4 linked regions of the Drosophila melanogaster genome follow. The gene in region 3 interacts genetically with the main gene of each other region. Each region holds a gene or a part of one and is shown on either strand. Other genes may lie near its edges.

What was found.
Region 1: of stan (region 3) and fy, changing one enhances a phenotype caused by changing the other (phenotypic enhancement), as found in Drosophila melanogaster (one study listed by BioGRID).
Region 2: of stan (region 3) and ed, changing one enhances a phenotype caused by changing the other (phenotypic enhancement), as found in Drosophila melanogaster (one study listed by BioGRID).
Region 4: of stan (region 3) and SMC3, changing one suppresses a phenotype caused by changing the other (phenotypic suppression), as found in Drosophila melanogaster (one study listed by BioGRID).

What each region holds. Positions count from the first base shown.
Region 1 is NT_033779.5:8,400,925-8,404,855, reverse strand, and holds fy (fuzzy), read left to right. Parts: upstream 1-1,575; 5' UTR 1,576-1,774; coding exon 1,775-1,852; intron 1,853-1,910; coding exon 1,911-3,025; intron 3,026-3,084; coding exon 3,085-3,142; 3' UTR 3,143-3,378; downstream 3,379-3,931. Other genes in the region: emb (embargoed), read right to left, coding at 1-568; CG31898 (uncharacterized protein), read right to left, coding at 3,379-3,931. UniProt on the Drosophila melanogaster protein: Plays a role in the organization of cell polarity via a planar cell polarity (PCP) cascade. Involved in the development of the hairs on the wings.
Region 2 is NT_033779.5:4,029,494-4,034,402, reverse strand, and holds the start of ed (echinoid), read right to left. Parts: upstream 3,027-4,909; 5' UTR 2,848-3,026; intron 1,981-2,847; 5' UTR 1,728-1,980; coding exon 1,634-1,727; intron 1-1,633.
Region 3 is NT_033778.4:10,671,588-10,676,388, forward strand, and holds the start of stan (starry night), read left to right. Parts: upstream 1-1,757; 5' UTR 1,758-2,382; intron 2,383-4,801. UniProt on the Drosophila melanogaster protein: Involved in the fz signaling pathway that controls wing tissue polarity. Also mediates homophilic cell adhesion. May play a role in initiating prehair morphogenesis. May play a critical role in tissue polarity and in formation of normal dendrite fields.
Region 4 is NC_004354.4:16,588,450-16,595,353, reverse strand, and holds SMC3 (structural maintenance of chromosomes 3), read left to right. Parts: upstream 1-1,914; 5' UTR 1,915-1,987; coding exon 1,988-2,002; intron 2,003-2,079; coding exon 2,080-2,194; intron 2,195-2,270; coding exon 2,271-2,410; intron 2,411-2,607; coding exon 2,608-5,727; intron 5,728-5,801; coding exon 5,802-6,014; 3' UTR 6,015-6,358; downstream 6,359-6,904. Other genes in the region: Ubc7 (ubiquitin conjugating enzyme 7), read right to left, coding at 545-663, 824-1,083, 1,167-1,248, 1,311-1,353; CG13014 (uncharacterized protein), read right to left, coding at 6,548-6,904.

The sequences.
Region 1 (3,931 bases), on a different chromosome or scaffold from region 3:
GCTTGGCCTTAGTCTGCGTGATCTGACCCTGCGAAAAGTCGAACACCTCCTCACTAAGGTTCTTCAGGATTACCATGTTGTTCATGCACAGGCTCTCGTTCGTTTTCGACGCACCGACAATGTCACTGATGAATGTCTCCCAGTTGCGTGGCCATTCGCGCTTTAGAATGTGGACCAGAATCATGTTTAGCTTATTCAGATACACTTTGTTCTGCTCCATAACAATGGGATCCGACGAGGTCTTGATGATAAGACTGACCACATACTTCTTGATTCCCTCGCACTGGTTGCGCGGCAGGACCTTCCAGCGCGTTTTGATGACCTCCTCGAGGATTTGCAGAGCATAAAACTTGGTCCGCTGGTTCTGTGAGTACTCCAATATGCTGTCCACCCGCGTCCATGCCTCTGGATGCTCCTTCAGCGTGGTCAGTATGCTCTGGGCTAGACGCAACTGCTCGCCCTGCGCTGTGTACACAACCTCGACGATCTTGTCCAGCAGATTAATGTCCAGCTTCTGGGAGAAGTCGAGCAGCTTGCCCGCCTCGTCCGATGTCAACATTGTCGCCATCGCTTTGTAGTAGAAGCGGCGTTCGCGTCGGCGTCGCTCTGCAGTTGTGTCCGCGTTAATTTTGATAGCTTCTTGGCTTCCTCCTCCGCCGGATGAGCTCGGATCTCACGTTTTTTCCCTTTGGATTTCTTGTTTTTGCTGTTTTTTTTTTCCACTTTATTTATCGAAAGTGCGCGGCGGCTTCTGCTTCAGCTTCTTCTTCTTCGCACTATGATGACGGTGAGGAGCGGCGACTCTCGATCTGGATCGGGATCTGGATCTGGTGCCGGGACTGGACCTGAAGCTGTGGAAATAAGACCGTTGGTTATACATATTGCGTACTTTTACGCCTGTCGACAGGCAACCATATTTCTTTTTTGTTTTCTTGTTTCATTTTTTTGGAACACACAACTACAAGCGCACGCTGTTGCCTGCGCGCGCTACACTTTTTCGCACTCGCACACATACAAGCGCTCGGCACACCACACATACGCACACACTGGCACAGGCGAACGCATCGCCGCCGCAAATGCGACAAGACTGCGGCGGCATTTCCCAAATTTTCTTAGCTTTTCAAAACGCGCCAGCGAGGACGCAGTGTGTAATTAATTAACAATCATGAACATGTAATTCACATATCAAGCTTACCTTTTACCGATTCCAGAAAAGAGCAGCGTGTGAAAACGACGACGACGGACAATGCGAAATGCAATTTGTGAGAACAGTGTGCCCGTATGGTGCTGAACAAACATACGTCCACAGCCCTGGTCTACAGGCATGCACGCAAAGTGATCGATAACGTTGATCGAATAAAATAATCAAATGGCATGGATGAAGATGCTTAGTTTGTTGGCTTACTTACTGCCAGAAACATCGATGTCCCTGATATCGAAAAACATCGATGTTTTAAGCAGCGATGTTTTAAAAAAAAATACAAAAAAATATTATCTGTTTAATTTAATGGAAAAACAAACCAGTATGCATGCATGCATAAATTGACATAAATATATTTGAATTTGATCTGTTCTCCTGAATCAGCTACAAAATACTGCATCTTACTGATTTATTACATTAAAACACTAAAAGTATGCAAGTAATTCAGATAAAAGTTTAAAATAAATCATATTAATTTACTAGTGCATCGCTTATTTTCGATAATTCAAAACGAATCGATTTAATCGATGTAAGCATCATACGTAGCAGGTTCGGCGAAGAAGAAGAGCTGCGATGTCCATCTATTTGTTATGTTTGACAACAAACGGCGGATTGCCAGTGTTTACACGAAAGAAGGGAGAATGCGAAAATGTAAGAGTAACATATTGCCTACCTATTCACTTAGTTAATACCCTTTCTCCATATCCAGCTGCCCTTCTCGACGGTGGCCTCCTTAAACGGCTTTCACATGTTCTTTAAGTCGCTGGGAATCCAACTGGAGGCCACGACGACCAGCAAACAGCAGCCTATCCAGAATCAGGCTCCCGCGGATGCCGAGGAGTGGACTTACATATGGCGCGACCGGGAATCCATCACCCTGATCGTGTGCGGCTGCGGTGTTGGGTCGGAGCAACTGCTTCAGACGCTGGCTGATCTTGTCTTTGGAGCGATAGGCATGTTCATTACCCGGGCCGCAGAAATGGCACATGCAACGCTCCTCGATAGACTGAAGAAGGACGCCAAGAAGTATGTCCCGATTGTTGACGCTATTCTGGAAGCCGCCTGTGCGGGTACACAACTCCTGGGCTACACGGACTGTCTGCTGGCGGCGGAAAACGCCCAGCTGCTGCAGTGTCTAAATGAATTTAGTGGCCACTGTGGCTCGCTCTTTTGCTGCCTGGTTGTGGGACACCGTATCGCTGTGGCCACTGAGGGCTGGTGGGATCTGGACACTCGGGACCGCGAGCTGCTGCTGTTTCTGTTGAATTCGTCGAGCACAATGCAACACGATGTGCCGGTCTATTTGCCCGTGAAAAGTCCCCATATAGCCTACCGCTTTGTCAGTATTCCTGTGGCGTCGAACAGTGCTCTGTGTGTCCTGTGTGGCGCTGAGAATGCCTCGTTCCGAGAGTTGCATGCACATGCCATGAGTGCCTACCGGAATGAAGGCAACCTTTTGGCAGCCGCCGAGCGATGCGTGCCGCGCAGTCTGCCCGAGCATCTGGAGATCGATGGAAATGTGCTGGCCATCATTCTAATTAACCGACACACGCGAAAAAGTCTCTTTACCAGAAATCTAAACCAGTCGGCGAGTGTCAAGCGCATCATTGTGGGCGATCTACAGCGCTTGGACATTCTAAAGAAGTTTTTCGATCAAACTATGGATGCAGTCCACCAATTTGAAACCCAGTCGTCCAGCAATAAAACTACGTTAGTGGACCAATATAGCTGCTCGGACTACCACAAGTGCTATGCCCATATGGATGAGCTGGGCAATGTCATATTCTTGTTGTTTGTGGCAGCGGTGCCCTCGCACGCAATGAGGTGCGATTATAATTATTTACTTTGATGACAAGGTTTTAAAATCAGTATTGTATTTACAGATTCCTTGCGCAACGCATCCATGCTAATATACTCCAGGAGAAGTCAGTATGTTGGTGATACGATATTTCTTTCTAAGCCTAAAGACTGATTTTTGTTACTACTTTTCCATGAAATAATGTTTTTTTTTAAATGACATTATATTTAACGAACAATAGGGTACAACTCCTTTTCTAAAGTTAAGCGTAATTTTTGACAAATCTTATATGTATATGCTACATACTAATATGGCTTTAATGACTTACAATTCCGTCCTTACAAATACTATTTATATATTTTAAATATACAATATGTCCTTATCCTTTTATTACAACATTGTATGGGCGACAATAGACCAGTTGTTTCTTGTTTAGCTCTAAGGGCTTTATCCTTGGATCCAGAAAAAATTGTACTATAGATCCAACTGTAAGTTGTGTGGTTTCTCCTTTTGGAGGAAGAATATTGAAACTACGTCCATTATCGGAAGCCACTAGGGCAATGGTAACACCATACTGGTTTGTAACAGACAAAATTTTAGCCGTGTGAGTGGCTGCATGGTTTTTAAGTTGACGCTGATCCATTCTTACTTTTTTGAGGACTTTACGGAACTCCTCAGCATAGCCTCCTTTAACACAGCGAGGGTTTGCCTTCAAATTGACTCTATTTTGGCTACTTGGCAGATACTGCCTAGGACTTTCACTAGGAACAAGTTGAATAGCTGGAGAAGATTCGGTATAGCTATCCTCGGTCAATCCAGAGCAGTTAGATTTATTCAGCGAGCTTTGACTTAACGATTTCCAAGAAGTTTGGAATGAAGACGTTGGCAATCGTTGAGGAGTAGGTGGATCAGAGTCAATGTTCTCTGACGAC
Region 2 (4,909 bases), on a different chromosome or scaffold from region 3:
GTGTGGGAAAAAGACACAAGACATGGCTAAAAATAAATCATGGAAGGGGCGTTTTGGAAAATGTTGGTTTATTTAAATAAATATTTAAATATTTTTAAACTATTTATACATTACATATATAAGCACGAAACCGCTAAGGTTATTAGTTCAGCCCATTTGCACATTACCAAGTAATTATTATCCTAAGCCGCCAAAGGTCTTTAGTTTTCCACCATTCCTCGTTGCTAATCTTTTAATGCGTTTTTAATGTCTGATCCCTCCGATCCGCGTGCCTGTTTTAAATGTCAATTCCCTCTTGGCCACTGTCATCAAATCTAATAATGCCCCCGAGTGGAGCAATTCCCCAGAAGCTTGAGGCCTAAAAAGCCTCCATAGAGAGTTCATTGATTTCTCGTTTTTTTTTTCGGTCGGAGGCGTTGACAGTTAAAGCTTCAAAGACGACTTTTACGAGTAGTTCGTATAAAAGCGTTGGAAAACGCGTGTCAAAGGCCCAATTAAGATGTCAAATCAACACGTTTTGTTTATTAACTGATTGCACACACACAAAACACGAGCTGAAAACGCGGAGAGCGCCATAAAGTTAATGGTGCAATATATCTTTTGAGGGGGTTAAAAACTCAGAGGGACTAGCCCCCAACTAATCGCCAGACAAATTAATAAAAAGGAACTGGCTGCTCCCCTTTTCGACTTCCCTTGACCGATTTGCCCGATTGAGTGGATATAATTCACATTTAAATTTAGCCCCAGCCCCCCCCCTTTGCCGACTTTTCCAGGGGTTCTTTAAGTATTAAAAAGCATTTTGTAAGCAAAGCATTATGTGTGCGGAAGGGAAAAACTTTGCCGAAGCGTGCCAAACTAAAGTTTTTCCTATACTTATACCACTGTGTCCTCTCCCCCAGTTTTGCGCCCTTTATTTGTGACACAGTAAATATTCTTGCATAATAACAGCATTTCCTAACTGATGCGGAGCATCTGGAAAGTGGAAAATTATGCTGGAATTTTTAATTAAGACGATACTTATATCTTTCAGACTGTCAAGTGTGGATATAGACATAGTAAATACATGGTTAATCAGTTTTTTTCATGGAATATCGACTTTACTTTAGCTACCGATTCAATATCTTCCTAGTAAATGCTGCCAATTGACAGGAGCCAACAAAGGGGTGGGCTGCGGAAAATTGCGTGGAAAATTGGGGAGGCTTGGGTAGCAGATAAAAAACTTTACGCTGACGTCAAGCTGCAACAACCTAGATCAACAAAAAACTAAAGTGACGTCGCAAGGTGACAACAGCAAAGGCGACTTGAAAAAACAGGGGGAAAATGCCGGAGGAAAGTGGCGGAAAAAGGGGAGCTGTCATAAGCAGGGTATGTCAAGGGCGGAACCGAAACTTTTAATTGATTTGTGATATGCGTGTGCCGAACACAAAGAGTGAGCTAGCGAATAGATTGGGATTTATCGGGAGCTATCAATCTTACCACCGATAAACAAATGAACTCAAGTGATACCCCCTATAGATATTTAAGTTCTGGAATAATGCTCGAGAAAAGCTGGGTAATCTTCTTAGCAATTATATACATATATAACTCCATTGCAAACAAAAAGCTTCTTATCAAACGAACAAAGTAAACTTACCGATGAGAAAAAAGTTGCATATAGTCGTTGCTGCTCTCCTCGCACTCCTGCTATTGACTATTGCCGTCCCTTTCGTGGTAGTTTTTCGCCTCATTTTGTGACTATATTTTGAATATATTTTGTATATGTTTCTACTGTTTTTGCTTATCTTTGGGTGCTACTCTCAATTCCCTTTGCAAAAACAATTTTTGCTACTTTTGCTGGACTTCTTATTCCAATTCGCAGTTAGTGGTGTTGTTGCAACGCTCCATTGCGTTGGTTAATGTTTTTATGCTTTCGACGATATAGTATTTTTTATTTATTGCACACGAAACTTTGAACGGATAGCCGAAAACGAAGAAGAACAACTGAAAAGGGTTAAGAATGGTGTTGTTGATTAGAAATTGCTCGGCTTTGTGGGGTTAAGATGTTGTATGTGGTTCCACGGGCATTCTTGTTTTTTATTAGTTATTCAAGTGCAGTTTATGTTTATAATCCAAGTCCTTATGGCAGTTGTTGTATTATCACTAATTCTTTTAAGTTGTATCCATCCATTGTTTTTTTTTTTTCATAAATTTGCAATAATTAATAATATATTTTTTATTATTAATATATCAAAAAAATTTAACAGGTTTTTTTTACTTTGTTTAAGTTTTCTTTTTCATCTCATTTATCCATATCTTTGCTTCGCCTTTATCTACCTCTCCTTTTTCACAGTTATAACTGCATTTATGCTTCACACTTTTTCGTGCTTGTTGTTGCTTTAGAGTTGCAACATGTTTTTATTGCTTTTGTTGTACTTTTGAGCAGGTAAGAAAATCACTTAAAAGGTTTCCAAGAAACACACCAATACACGTTATACACACAATCACACGCACGCATACACATACACACGAAATGGACGCTAAACCTGTTTCCCAGGTAAATCGGTAAAGATGTGCGAGTGCGAGGGGGACAGAGCGATCGTCAGAGATCGTGGATAAAACGGGAGGGAGGGAGCGAGATAGAGATGACGCAGATGCTGCGTTTTTTTCTTATTTATCTTAGCTTCGTTTCCTTTTCTTAAAGTTTTAACTGTTGTTTATTCGAAATAAATCTATTATTTTGTATTTATTGTTGCTTGCTTGCATTGTTTTGATTTTGTATACCGTTGCTTTTGGTCTTTCCACTGCCACTGAAACCACACACACACATACACTGTGCACAGTAATTTTGTATAAATTTCAATTTTATACCTCAAATTTAGTATATTTTCTGCGTTTTACCCAATAAATTGGGACTGTTGTTGTTGCTGCTGCTGAGTTGTTGTTCGCACACACGCGGAAATCGACGAAAAACGCGGCGGGAAATTCAGACAACGCGCGCTCACTTTTCCACGAAGCGTTCGATCCGAAATGGGAAAACACACAGAGAAAGGGAAACGAAAATTTGAGCCGCAGCCGCAAAATTCAAGTTCCACAACACAGTCCGCACAAGTTCGAGTCGAACGCGTTTGATGAGAGCCGTTAACAGCGCTGTTAAGTTAAGCTAACATGTTTGACTCGACTTTTATTAAGAGAACATAATAGCGAATTTCTCTTAAGTTTGATTATATTCAGAAAACAAATAATAAATGTTGCCTTTATATTTTAGGCATGTAATGTTTTCAACAAAAGAACCAATAAATTTGAAATAATTTTAAAATTGTTTTTAAGTTTAAATCATCATGTAGTTTCTTTTATATGTAACTTTTAAGGAGAAGTAAACCCATTTTGGAAAAAAAATTGTTTCATTTGGTTTTAAAAACATTGTATGCGTATTTATATATTTTATATTTTTTTCGTCGATAACGGACCCAAATGGTGAAAATGAGCCTAAGGCAGCAACGAATAGAAGCAATTTTGTATGGAAATTCAATTTGCCTTTAGCAACATGTTGCATTTTCCTAGAGGTTTTGAGTGCCTTTTTCCAAGAAAACTCGTTTCTTTGGCCAACAAGAAAAACCAGTCGGGAAATTAGTCAAGAAAAATATAAATAAGAAAAGCCAGCAACAAGTTGGTTTTAAACCAGAGGGAATGGTATAGTCGAGTTTCTCGACTATCAGATACCCGTTACTCAGCTAGTGAAAATGCGAATGCGAAATGCGAAAGTGTTAGAAAGTGTGTTGCTAAATCGATTCGGCTATTGTTCCTGATCCTGAATATATATACTTTATAAAGTTGGAAACGCTTCCTTCTGCCTGTTACATACTTTTCAACGAATTAAGTATACCCTTTAACTGTACGAGTGACGGGTATAAGAGTGGTGCGAAAGGTGCGGCGATAGTGTACATGCAACAAGTTCGAGCTTGAAGGCAAGTAAACTTCGTTAAGTTCGCACATAGCTATGTCCATCTCTTTCGCACCCCCTGTAGCGATCTACATTAAACCAGTTATCTTAAGAGTTTGTGAAGAGACCTCCTTCCTCTTGCACACCTCAAGTAAACCCGTTTTCTAAAAAACACGTTATATTCGAGACGAAAACCTCACTGCTACGACACTCAGCAGCTTAAACCTTTCTTAGACTTTTTTATGACCACACCCACGAGCCAGGTTACAAAAAAAAACTTAAAATTGTTTGTACTTTCAAATAACAATTATACCGTATATAGTATAGTATAGATAGTGTTTAGATTATCCACTAAAATCAGTACGCAATTGTTATAATTTACCCAAACAGTAGCACTAAGTCTTGGTATTATGTAGGGTTTTTTCTTCTTTTTTTCTTTTGAGAAATACCGCGAATGATTGATTTTTTCCGCTTTGTTTCTGAGCAGCTGAAGTGGCTCTGCATATTCAATATTTTTATTTAGCAGTCATGCCACGCGCTTTGCATAATGAATGCATAGGACTTACAAGCAGCCCAAGAATGGTAAATAATTTTAAAACAGATTTTCTGCTCGTTCTGTCTGTTCTGTCGTCGCTGTTCAATGTTTATTGAATTTTTGATTTGGGCCCCAAGGTGATTTCTCCTCATCATAAAACGCCGGACATGTCCCGCTACTAAAGACGCATACAAATGACCTTTGGGTTGGCGGGCTGGCCCCGCCCCCATTTCCCTCAGGTGAAAAGACGACTAGACAACACAACCACTCCCCCCCCCCCATTTTTTTCTTCCTTCCCTCGCTAGGAGCACACGAAAATCCAGCTTAATTATCCCTATCCCTTGCTTAATGTTGCTGTTTACTCGTAGATCCTGGTAATTTCCTTAGCATTACTTTCCTTGCATATTAATCGCCATAAATTTGGGTTAAAATATGTATTAACCATAGGGACAGTC
Region 3 (4,801 bases):
ACGCTGATACGTTGAGTGCATTTTACATATTTTTTTACTACTCTCAGATTGTTTATTTATATTGAATACAAAAATCGGACTTTGCTTATTTAAACAAAATTCCTCGAAGTGATATTTTTCCAAGTGTTTGGCCTGCTTGGCTGGACACGCTGAATCGTGGAGGTTTGGCCTTGTTCCCTCCTGATAACCCATCTTCCAACTCCGATCTCCGAAAAGGGCTGCCGGCTTTCGACGTGTGTCAAGTGTGCTGCATTTGTTTAATGCCAGCGCTCAGTAATTGGAAAGCATGTCGAACATGTCGAATTTATTGCCCCGCAAAAAGCACACAGATACAAATTGAAACGGTTACAGATTACGGATGCAGCTAGCTACACATGGCCACAAGGTTACATAGACACGGATACAGATCAATGGGGGAATTCAGAGCATTCCGAGTCAATGGCTTGGAAGAGCCTCAACCAAATGCAATTAATCAAACGCAAGGGGCCAATGTCAATTACATGCAAGAAACCCCCATTTCGGTCTCCTATTCTCCTATTCCTTCGATTCCTCCCAAAATCCCTTCGATTCGTTGCTATTCGGAAGTATTCGGACCACGTCAGCTGGCCAAATGCGAGTTGTTGGCCAAACGACGATGTCTTGGCCAACACCTTCCTGTAAGCTATAAATTCCGCCGACACATACATACATCTACCAGCGTAGCCATTACCCACGACTGTTGTCCTTGTGGGCCAAAAGCTTGTTCGGTTTCTGGGTCCCAGCATATGTTTATCACTGCTGCCGAATTCTGCCAACCAAAATTGCATTAAATATTTTGCATAATTCGATAAACTGAAATCTAATCGAATGGCAAGCAGGAACATGCGAATTTCTGGCATACCTATGTATAGATCCCAATTGGAATAATGATTCATCCCTAATGGCTTCGTAATTGAAACTATTCACTTAACAGCTCTTGACACTTGAACCTCATCATAACATGGAAAACGGTCATTTGGTCGGTTTTAATGGTGTACTACATTTTTGGTTTTGACAGTGAACTTTTAGCATATTATGTTTCTGAACATAAATTGCGTTGATTTAGACTATCGCTTAATTATGCCAAATAATATGTTTGTTTGTTTATTTAGTTTTCAAACCAAGGCGTTCAACAGAAAATGAATTATTATTGGTGGGACACAAAAACTAGGCTATATGGAATATTATTTATTAATATTAACAAATGAATACACCACATGTAAATTTATAAGTTAGCAATTTTATGTTCAAGTTTTACCCGTAAGGGATAATGTTCCACCATCTTTAGATTCGCAAACTAATTCCGATTACAGGTGTTGGCCCGATGCACAGATAACACATTTATTTAACATTTATTTAATAAATAGTAGTAAAATTATATAAATATCACATTTAATAAATTGAGTCGATTTAAATCTTTGAGCATGCAAAGCGTGCTGCAAAACTAATTTACTGATAAGAAAAAGACTTTCGAAGTTTCCAAAGATTGAATATCCTACAGGTTGAAGAATCCTGGATCAAATTGCACGTTTTTATGCTCGGGGATGCAAACCGAAATTTGGTGGCACCTCTCTCTGCTGCCGCAACATGTTGCAACAGTCGCGGCAATGTTGCTGCAACACGCAGTCACCCCCCGCAGAAAATCCACCACCGACGAAAGTATCCATCGGATACACGAACTCGCTTCGGCTTCCAACTGAGTTTTAGCAAGAAACTCAGTTTCTGTTTCTGGTTTTGCCAGTTACCACTGCGACTCCGGACCGATTGGACGCGTTTTGAGCGTTTGGCCAGCAAGAACGGTATTATTTTTCACTCGGGGCTACGCGTGCGCGTCTCTGCAAAGTCAAAAGCAAAGACAAATGCAAAGGCAAGTGCAAAGCCAAAAGGCAGAGGTAAACGCAAACCCAAAGTAACAACTTCGACGGTCGAAATTACCGGTTTTTCGCCAACACAACATACAACAATCCTCGCTCTCAGTGAATTTTAGCGCGCGGTCTTTTCTTCGCCTGCTGTTTTCAGAAAAGTGCGTTGGCTTTTCCAACAACCACCCCCTTTTTTTAGCCGCCCAGCTTAACGGTCGGGGTTATAGTCGGTTTAGCATTCGAATTATTCGAATTTCCCGGAATCAAAATAGTTAAATCAGTTTAAACAGTGCTCTAGAGTGAGGCCAGTCACACAAACTGGCGAGTGCTAATTATAATATATTGTGTTAATAATACAAACACAAGATTCACGCAGAGGAAACAACACGGATGCGCGATTTTAAATGCAATATTATAAATATTTAACAATGCAGCCGTGCAGCTAAAGCGGATTATTGGCCACCCACGCGTGGAAATTCAGCGGCAGAGCAAACAAAAGCCTGTAAGTTCACACGTTCCAGCCAGGATATATCAAGGATATGTGCATGTGCTCGCGCATATACATATGTCCTTGTGGGCGGGATGCGGCTGCATTCTAATGGGAATTGTGCGACGCATGACACCTGATTCATGACGTATGACAGGTGTCGTTCCAACAGGACACTATATGTTCCGCAGGCGTGGCCTTAAATCTCTTAGATAAACTTCGTATTTAAGGGCTTACGCCATAGCGGAATCGCGTAATTCATATTTTCAAAGGGTTATAAGCTCTAGAAAAGTATTTTGTATCTGCATATAAATGGGGGCCTGTATGAAATATTGCTAGAACCTTTATTTGTTATATGATATGGAAAGACGCTTAGTGGTTCTGGCTACCTCTGAAATGTTTCGATTTAAGACGTTCTTAATTAACGGCTTTCAGCTCTAGGGCTTCGGCAATAAAATAGAGCTCCAATTGGGCCTTTAAACCTAAGGCCTCTTTCTTGGCCATCTCCAATTAGCAGTTGGCCCAAACAGTTGGCCGATGGCCGAAGTCGAAGTCGAAGTCCGACGCTCACACAGTGCAACTGTTAAAGTTCAGAGCCATCGCAAAAAGATACAAACGCGAAGCTCTAAACAAACATTAAACTGAATACCAAATGAGACAACAAAAGGAGGAAGCACAATAAAAGTCACATTAAAACGTGGGTCAAAAACGCGGAGAGCGCGAGGAGAGAAAGGAGAAGAGTTGGGTCAAAACATAACCGAAATCGGAATCGGGGAATCGTGGAATCAAATGCCTGCACGAGATACAAATGTATCTGTATCTGAGCGTTGCAAGTGCTTTGTTTTCCCTGCATTTCACACTTGTCCATGGGATTTTGCCTTTGCCATTGCGTTTGTATCTTTGTTTCTGCGCCCTTTGTCTGGCGCATAAATATTTCAGCAGGCCGGGACAAACTTATCTGCTGGATACATTATTCACTCGACTCAGTTTTGTCGGATTGCCAATTTATTAAGATAGATTTTATTTTCGAGGCCATTAACAGGGCCTTTGTTATATTTCGATGGGGGCCAGATACTCTCGCACATTTATGTTTTATGATTTTCTAGTTGGAATGCGGTGTGTTTGGTGCAATTGGAAGAGTCAAGTCAAGTCCATTTTGAGCCTGCCAGTGGCAAGTAGCTGAAAAATTGTTGTAAGACTGGTTTTCTGCTACTGCTCCTCGTTCGACCCCTTTCTCCCTGCCTCTCTCTAGCTCTCTCTGTCTCTCTTTCTCGGCGTGTTACCAACCTTTTCCCATTCTTCTTGCGGCTGGTGCAGAGAAAAAAAAGTTATTTACTTAGGTTAATTATGTGATCCAAGTTTAGTTACACACAAAAACATCAAATGTCGTTCTATTATATTTTATAAGACGATTAATATTAAGAGTTAAAGGCTTAAGGTGTTATCCTTTAATTTTTACAATAGGCTGTTTTCTTGAAATATGTGTAGAATGAGTTTAATCCATTTATATTTGAAATCAAATAATTGCGGATATAAAGATTAAGTTGTAGTAGAGGAATTACTTGAATAAAATTTAAGAAAAAGTAGGTAAATAAAATATTTTACCGTGCTTAAAATGAGTTTGTTAGCGCCTGGCTCTCTTCGCGGTTTTGCAGCTGTCTCGGCCAGGTTAGGAGCAATCCACCACCGGCAGGCAGATCCGCTACGGGCCATCATCCTGACCAGAACGCATCCTCTTCTTCTTCGGTAGCCGCAACCTGTTTTTCATTGGTTATGTTTTTTGTTTTTTTGAGTTCGAAGTGATCAGTTAAGACTTCAGTTGGCCAAGGAGCCAACGAAAAAGGTGATTTTTTCCGGCTTCTGATGCCACATTCACTGCGAATAGCCAACTCGCACGGCGAACTAACCTCAGTCAATCCATTCGATATCCATGCCGGCATAGGAAAACTCGTTATGACTCTTGATTAATTAACATTTGAATGCTGTCTCGTGCCAGTTAATGTGGCTGATTTGTGACCGGCTTGAGTCCATCAAAATATCAACAGTCTATTGTGGAATTTATTACAGAATCAGAGGGCCAATGGCCAAATGAGATTTGCATGGCATGGAGTTGGACGAATTCGTGTGCACACACCAGAGATTCATTGATGACGTTGATGGTCCACATTTTTCGGTATCTTTTGTGGGTTTATGGTGGCCTCTCTTGGCCACTACTCACACGGCTATCCATGAGATACTTCTGCGTAGGCATCGGCCCTCTTGGTCGCGCACTCAAAACTGGTTTCGGCCACATTCAAAATTGTTATGTTAGAATAAAAGCTTAATTGATGCATATACACACGTACGGTTCAGTTTTATACGGCAGCAGTGGTCCGTAGATACAGCCGAAAAAAAAAACAGTCAGATACATTTACATATACAAATACAGATGGAA
Region 4 (6,904 bases), on a different chromosome or scaffold from region 3:
TGAGTACATAGGACAATTTCATGTTGGATTTCAGTTAATGATCAGTCGAATTAAGTGTGTAATGACTATATAAACCAAACATAAAGCATAATGCAAATCAAACGCCTCAATCACTTCGAATACATTGCCCTTGCACTTGAATTATCGTAATTTCTATTTAACTTTTCAAAACAGCATCTTTATAAAGCATCAATACAAATTATATCTAGTGAAAATATATAAAAAAAAATAAACCTTTAATAATAGAAATTATTAGAATTTTCACTTTTCTTGCCAACTTCTCACTCCGCCTTCACCTGGCCTCGTGTCCAACTACCAGTGATGTACTTCAGGTAATAGGCCCTCCAGTTAAGTCCGGTGAGGCAGTCAGTGTGCTAGATAAACTTGAGTTAGTCGATTTTGACGTTAGGTTCTTCATTTTTGCTAATTTGAAACTTGTGTCGGTTAGCTCAACGAGGGATTTTTGAGAAAACTATGGGTTAGCGAGTTGTTGGAATCGTGTTGTTCAGGGTAGAAAGTATTGACGGTGACGCACATGATCCATTTACGCCGGTAAACCAAGAGTTTTGCGCACCAGCCGTCGGGCGATGGCGTTGAACTCATCCCTCTGTTCGCGCCACATAATTGCTGCATCCACATTAGCGCCGCTCTCATCGTTGGGTTCTGTGGGCAAAAATGAACGACATCAGTTTGAACTTAAGGAATGAACAAGTGAAGTGAACTATCGGCATGATCAACCATATAATCTAGTGAACAAATGAACTTGGAAGTAGATACCCCCGTTGGAATTGCCCTTAAGACTTTATTGTGACTTTTTTCTTACCCGCCAGCATGCTGACCACACTAAGCAAAATCTTCTCCACGCTCTGGACAGGACTCCAGCGCTCCGCGGATAGCTCGTAGCCCATGGGATCGTCGCCGGGTGCGTGTAGTATTGATATGCAGACCCGCCCGTCGGCGAATATGTTGGGATGGAACATGTCACAAGTGAATTTCATTTTAGGCGGACTCAGAGGATAGTCGGTCGGAAAGATGAGCCGGGCAGGAAACACTCCGCCCTCGAAACAAGTGCCCTCAGGTCCGCTGCAAAGGGCAAAGTGCAATTAATGGGTTAATCTGTCCACATCTGTCCGATCCGTGTCGATCGTTCGGGGATCTTAACTCACGCAATCAGTGCCTCCCACTCGAAGAAGTTGTCCTCGCTGATGGGGCCGGCCACAATGCCCTCGGGCGGGTCAAGTGTTAACTCTGGAGATGATCGGAGCGGTGGTAAGGGAAAGCTGTTGCTGCCCTGTGGACTTTCGACTCACGTTTGTATTCCGCCATCAGGCGGCGCAGTGCGGACCCAGCCATCCTAAATGCGCTCGATGGTAATGATGATGGTTCAGTTCACGGGCTCCTTCTCCCCACTGTGACCACTTCCTTTGAGTTTCCTTCAGCTGCTTCTCCGTTTCCTGTCCACCTGCTCCTGCACCTGCTACACCCGAATGGGGTCCTTGCTTGTTTTGGCGGCAATCGCGAACTTTCCAGATCCTCGGGCACGGGTCAAAATACAGACACGTCGTAATATAATAAACACAAACGGTGTTCCGTGTTTATTTATATCGAATGAATCGAGTGGCTTTCTATAAAAATATATCTGTACTGAGTGAATTTAACAAGAGTAATCGATTCGATTCGATAACGTCGGCTATCGTTGTTTTAGTATTTCACACCTTCAAACTACCTTATTAAATTAATTATTTGTTTGCTTCTTAAACCATTATTGATGGACACTTTTAGTTGTAAAATTTAAAATTATTTTTTTGTTTTATATCATTTGAATTTTTGGTTCGATTGCAAGCCAGTGTTTTTCAAAGTTGGGATATCGATGACATCGATAGTGAAACGCAAACATCGATAAGTCGCTGCCCGAGTCGATATTATTTATGTATTTGTTGTAAAACAAAAAGAGCGCGATTTTGTGCAAAAAATCGCATATAATAAGATGCACATCAAGCAGGTGAGTGTTGAAATGACGGCCATGCTCCTGGCCACCCATTGGACACCGAAGATCTGAAATCCACCCGTTAATTCCAGATTATTATACAAGGCTTCAAGAGTTACAAGGACCAGACGGTGGTGGAACCATTCGACAAGCGCCATAACGTTGTTGTTGGACGTAATGGCTCCGGGAAGAGCAACTTCTTCTACGGTTAGTATCAGCTCCAGCCTGCCTGTTCAGCTAACCATATTTAATCGACCCTAATGCTATCCCATCCACTTTGCAGCCATCCAGTTTGTGCTAAGCGATGAGTTCACCCACTTGCGGCCGGAGCAGCGTCAGTCGCTTCTGCACGAGGGAACAGGTGCCCGCGTCATCTCCGCCTATGTGGAGATCATCTTCGACAACTCGGACAACCGAGTTCCAGTGAGTAGTCAAACCAAGTGACCCAGAAAACATAGTCTTTGCAAGAACTCTACTGCCTTGGAAGATGTAGTCAATGGTTGTAACATATCGCTCAAAATCCTCTAAAGCAACCCGCTCATAGCATCTTCTCATAATATTCAAACTTATAGGCAAACATTTCTAGCCACTTCATAACTGACGCTACGCTTATTTTGTAGATCGACAAAGAAGAGATCTTTCTGCGGCGCGTGATTGGCGCCAAAAAGGACCAGTACTTCCTCAACAAGAAGGTGGTGCCGCGCAATGAGGTGGTCAATCTGCTGGAATCGGCTGGTTTTTCCAGTTCAAATCCCTACTACATTGTCAAGCAGGGCAAAATCAATCAGATGGCAACTGCCGCCGATTCCTATCGTCTCAAGCTGCTACGCGAAGTCGCGGGAACGCGTGTTTACGACGAACGGAAGGAGGAGTCGTTAAATCTATTGCGCGAGACGGACAGCAAGGTGGAGAAAATCAGCGAGTACCTAAAGACCATCGAGGATCGGCTCCAGACGCTCGAAGAGGAGAAGGAAGAGCTAAAGGAGTACCAGAAGTGGGACAAGACGCGCCGCACGCTAGAGTATATACGCTACGAAACCGAGCTGAAGGACACCAAGAAGGCTCTCGACGAGCTCCAGCTGCAGCGCAAGTCGTCCTCGGACAAAAAGAAGATCTACAACATTGAGATTCAGAAGGCACAAGAGAAGATCAAGGATGTGCAAAAGAACCTTAAAGAGGCAAAGAAGAAAGTGCAGAGCACAAAGGAGGAGCGCTCCGTACTGATGACGGAGCAGCAACAGTTACTGCGCGAGAAAACGAAACTAGACCTAACCATTGTCGATCTAAATGACGAGGTTCAGGGCGACAACAAGTCCAAGGAGCGGGCTGACCAGGAGCTTAAGAACCTTAAGGTAACGATAGCCGAACGCGAAAAGGAACTGGACGACGTAAAGCCCAAATACGAGGCGATGAAGCGCAAGGAGGAAGACTGCTCCCGAGAGCTGCAGCTCAAGGAACAGAAGCGCAAGGAGCTTTACGCCAAGCAGGGTCGCGGTTCACAGTTCTCCTCTAGGGAGGATCGCGACAAATGGATCACCAACGAGCTGAAGTCAATTAGCAAACAGACGCGCGATAAAATCGCTCATCACGCAAAACTCGTGGAGGATCTGAAGAAGGACGCTACCTCCGAAAAGGATCTGGGTCAAAAGATCGAGGAGCACTCATCGGAACTGGAGCAGCTCCGACTGCAGATCGACGAGCACAACAAGAAGTACTACGAGCTTAAGAAGACCAAGGACCAGCATCAGTCCATGCGAAACGAGTTGTGGCGCAAGGAGACACAGATGACGCAGCAGCTGCAGACGCACAAGGAGGAGCTATCGCGGGCGGACCAGGCGCTGCGCAGCATGGCCGGCAAGCCGATCCTGAACGGTTGCGATTCTGTGCGCAAGGTTCTCGACAGCTTTGTGGAACGTGGCGGTCAATCGGCGGAGATTGCGAGAGCCTACTATGGACCCGTCATTGAGAACTTCAGCTGCGACAAGACCATCTACACGGCGGTGGAGGTAACAGCCGCCAATCGGTTATTCCATCACATTGTGGAGTCAGAATACGAGGGCACGCAAATCCTCAAGGAGATGAATAAGCTGAAATTACCGGGCGAGGTGACCTTTATGCCCCTGAATCGACTTCAGGTTAAAATACACGATTATCCGGATGATCCCGACTCCATACCTATGATCTCCAAACTGAAGTACGATGAACAGCACGACAAGGCGCTGAGGTATATCTTTGGAAAAACGCTAATCTGCAGAAATTTGGAGCGCGCCACCGAGCTGGCCAAGAGCACTGGGCTGGATTGCGTTACGCTGGACGGAGATCAAGTGTCCTCCAAGGGATCCCTCACTGGCGGCTATTTCAATACATCCCGTTCCCGTCTTGAGATGCAAAAGAAGCGCACGGAATACACCAGCCAGATAGCTGAATTCGAAAAGAAACTCAGCAAGCTGCGAAACGAGCTCAAGTCCACCGAGAACAACATCAACTCAATCGTATCCGAGATGCAGAAGACGGAAACGAAGCAGGGCAAGTCGAAGGATGTATTCGAAAAGGTGCAGGGCGAGATTCGCCTGATGAAGGAGGAGCTGGTGCGCATCGAGCAGTATCGTGCGCCCAAGGAGCGCTCACTGGCCCAATGCAAGGCCTCATTGGAGTCCATGACCAGTACGAAATCTAGTTTGGAGGCGGAGCTGAAGCAGGAGCTGATGTCGACGTTGTCGTCGCAGGATCAGCGTGAGATTGACCAGCTGAACGACGACATTCGTCGACTGAACCAGGAGAATAAGGAAGCGTTTACGCAGCGTATGCAGTTCGAGGTGCGCAAGAACAAGCTAGACAACCTGCTGATCAACAATCTGTTCCGGCGTCGCGACGAACTGATCCAAGCGCTGCAGGAGATTTCCGTGGAGGACCGCAAGCGAAAGCTAAACAATTGCAAAACGGAACTGGTTTCCGCCGAAAAGAGAATCAAGAAGGTCAACTCCGATCTGGAGGAGATCGAAAAGCGGGTAATGGAGGCTGTGCAACTGCAAAAGGAGCTGCAGCAGGAGCTCGAAACGCATGTGCGTAAGGAGAAGGAGGCCGAGGAGAATCTTAACAAGGATTCCAAGCAGCTGGAGAAATGGTCGACCAAGGAGAACATGCTCAACGAAAAAATCGATGAGTGTACGGAAAAGATTGCCAGCTTGGGCGCCGTGCCGCTAGTTGATCCTTCCTACACACGCATGTCCCTGAAGAACATCTTCAAAGAGCTGGAGAAGGCAAACCAGCACCTGAAGAAGTATAACCATGTGAACAAGAAAGCCCTGGATCAGTTCTTGAGCTTCTCCGAGCAGAAGGAGAAGCTCTATCGCCGCAAAGAGGAGCTCGACATCGGTGACCAGAAGATCCACATGCTAATTCAGTCATTGGAGATGCAAAAAGTGGAGGCCATTCAATTTACGTTCCGACAAGTGGCGCAGAACTTCACCAAGGTGTTTAAGAAGCTGGTGCCCATGGGCGCGGGCTTTCTCATCCTGAAGACCAAGGACAACGAAGGCGACGAAATGGAAAAGGAGGTGGAAAACTCCGATGCTTTCACAGGGATCGGCATTCGGGTTTCGTTCACCGGCGTTGAGGCTGAGATGCGTGAGATGAACCAGTTGTCTGGTGGACAGAAGTCGCTTGTCGCCCTGGCCCTCATTTTCTCCATCCAAAAGTGCGATCCAGCTCCCTTCTACCTATTTGATGAGATAGATCAGGTGAGTCGTCACATTACCTATAATTACGCATTACTTTATTTGATTGACTAATGATCTACTAATGTTTTGTGCAGGCGCTGGATGCAATGCATCGAAAGGCGGTGGCGAACATGATCCATGAGCTCAGCGACACTGCCCAGTTCATTACGACAACGTTCCGGCCGGAATTGCTGGAGAACGCGCACAAGTTCTACGGCGTGCGATTCCGAAATAAGGTCAGTCACATTGATTGTGTGACCAGGGAGGAGGCCAAGGACTTCGTCGAGGACGACAGCACCCACGCCTAGGAAATTGCCCCGCCCAAAACCTCATCCCTCAACCCACCACAACCATCTCTCGCCCCAATTATTAGTTTCGTAGGCGTACGATTTGTTTTCACATTCTTTTAAATCGTATACATATATATATATATAGTTTTCTTTCTAACGATACTTGCTACATTTAATTTTCCTTAACAATGAGAGTTAGTTTTCGGCTAGGCCGTGCTCGTTGCGTGGAACACTTCGAGCCGGCGAACAAAACCGAGAGTATAGAAACTCCAAGCCCAGATCAATATGTAATAAAGCGCATAGAGAAGTAATTTAAACTATATTTAAAACGAAAATATGTATTAAAAAGCTTATGCAAAAGGAAACCGTCTAATCCAATATAATTCCACACTTTTATGTATGTATGATAACAATGCAATAATTGTTTCGAAATAAGAAGTCTGGTTTATTACTCAAAAAATTGTTCAACAACGTGCATCTTATAATTAAATGTTGGTGTCTTAGAGCTTGGCAATCAAGGCTCCAGTCCCTGGTTGCCCGACCAGCTACTCTCAGCTGGCCACAGCGTCCAGTTGCTCCTGGATGGCATTCAGCGCAAAGATGGTGCTAAAGCACATGCCCACGGTGGCCACCTCCAATTGGCTGATGTTGTAGTGCAGCGGCAGTCGCCACAGGACAAAGTGATTCAGCAGAACAAGCAGGGCCAGGCCAAGTGACCACCAGTGCTCGTCGACGATGGCGATGCGCCAAAGACAGTGGACATTCCACAGAACACAGAGGCCCAATTGCGCGGCATCCAGTTTTATGAATGTGGCACCCAGTGGACTGCGACTGTTGCCGAACCACAAGCTGGTGACTGCAAGTGCCAGTACAGCGCTCCACAGTCCAAAGGCCAGACGCTCCCAGTC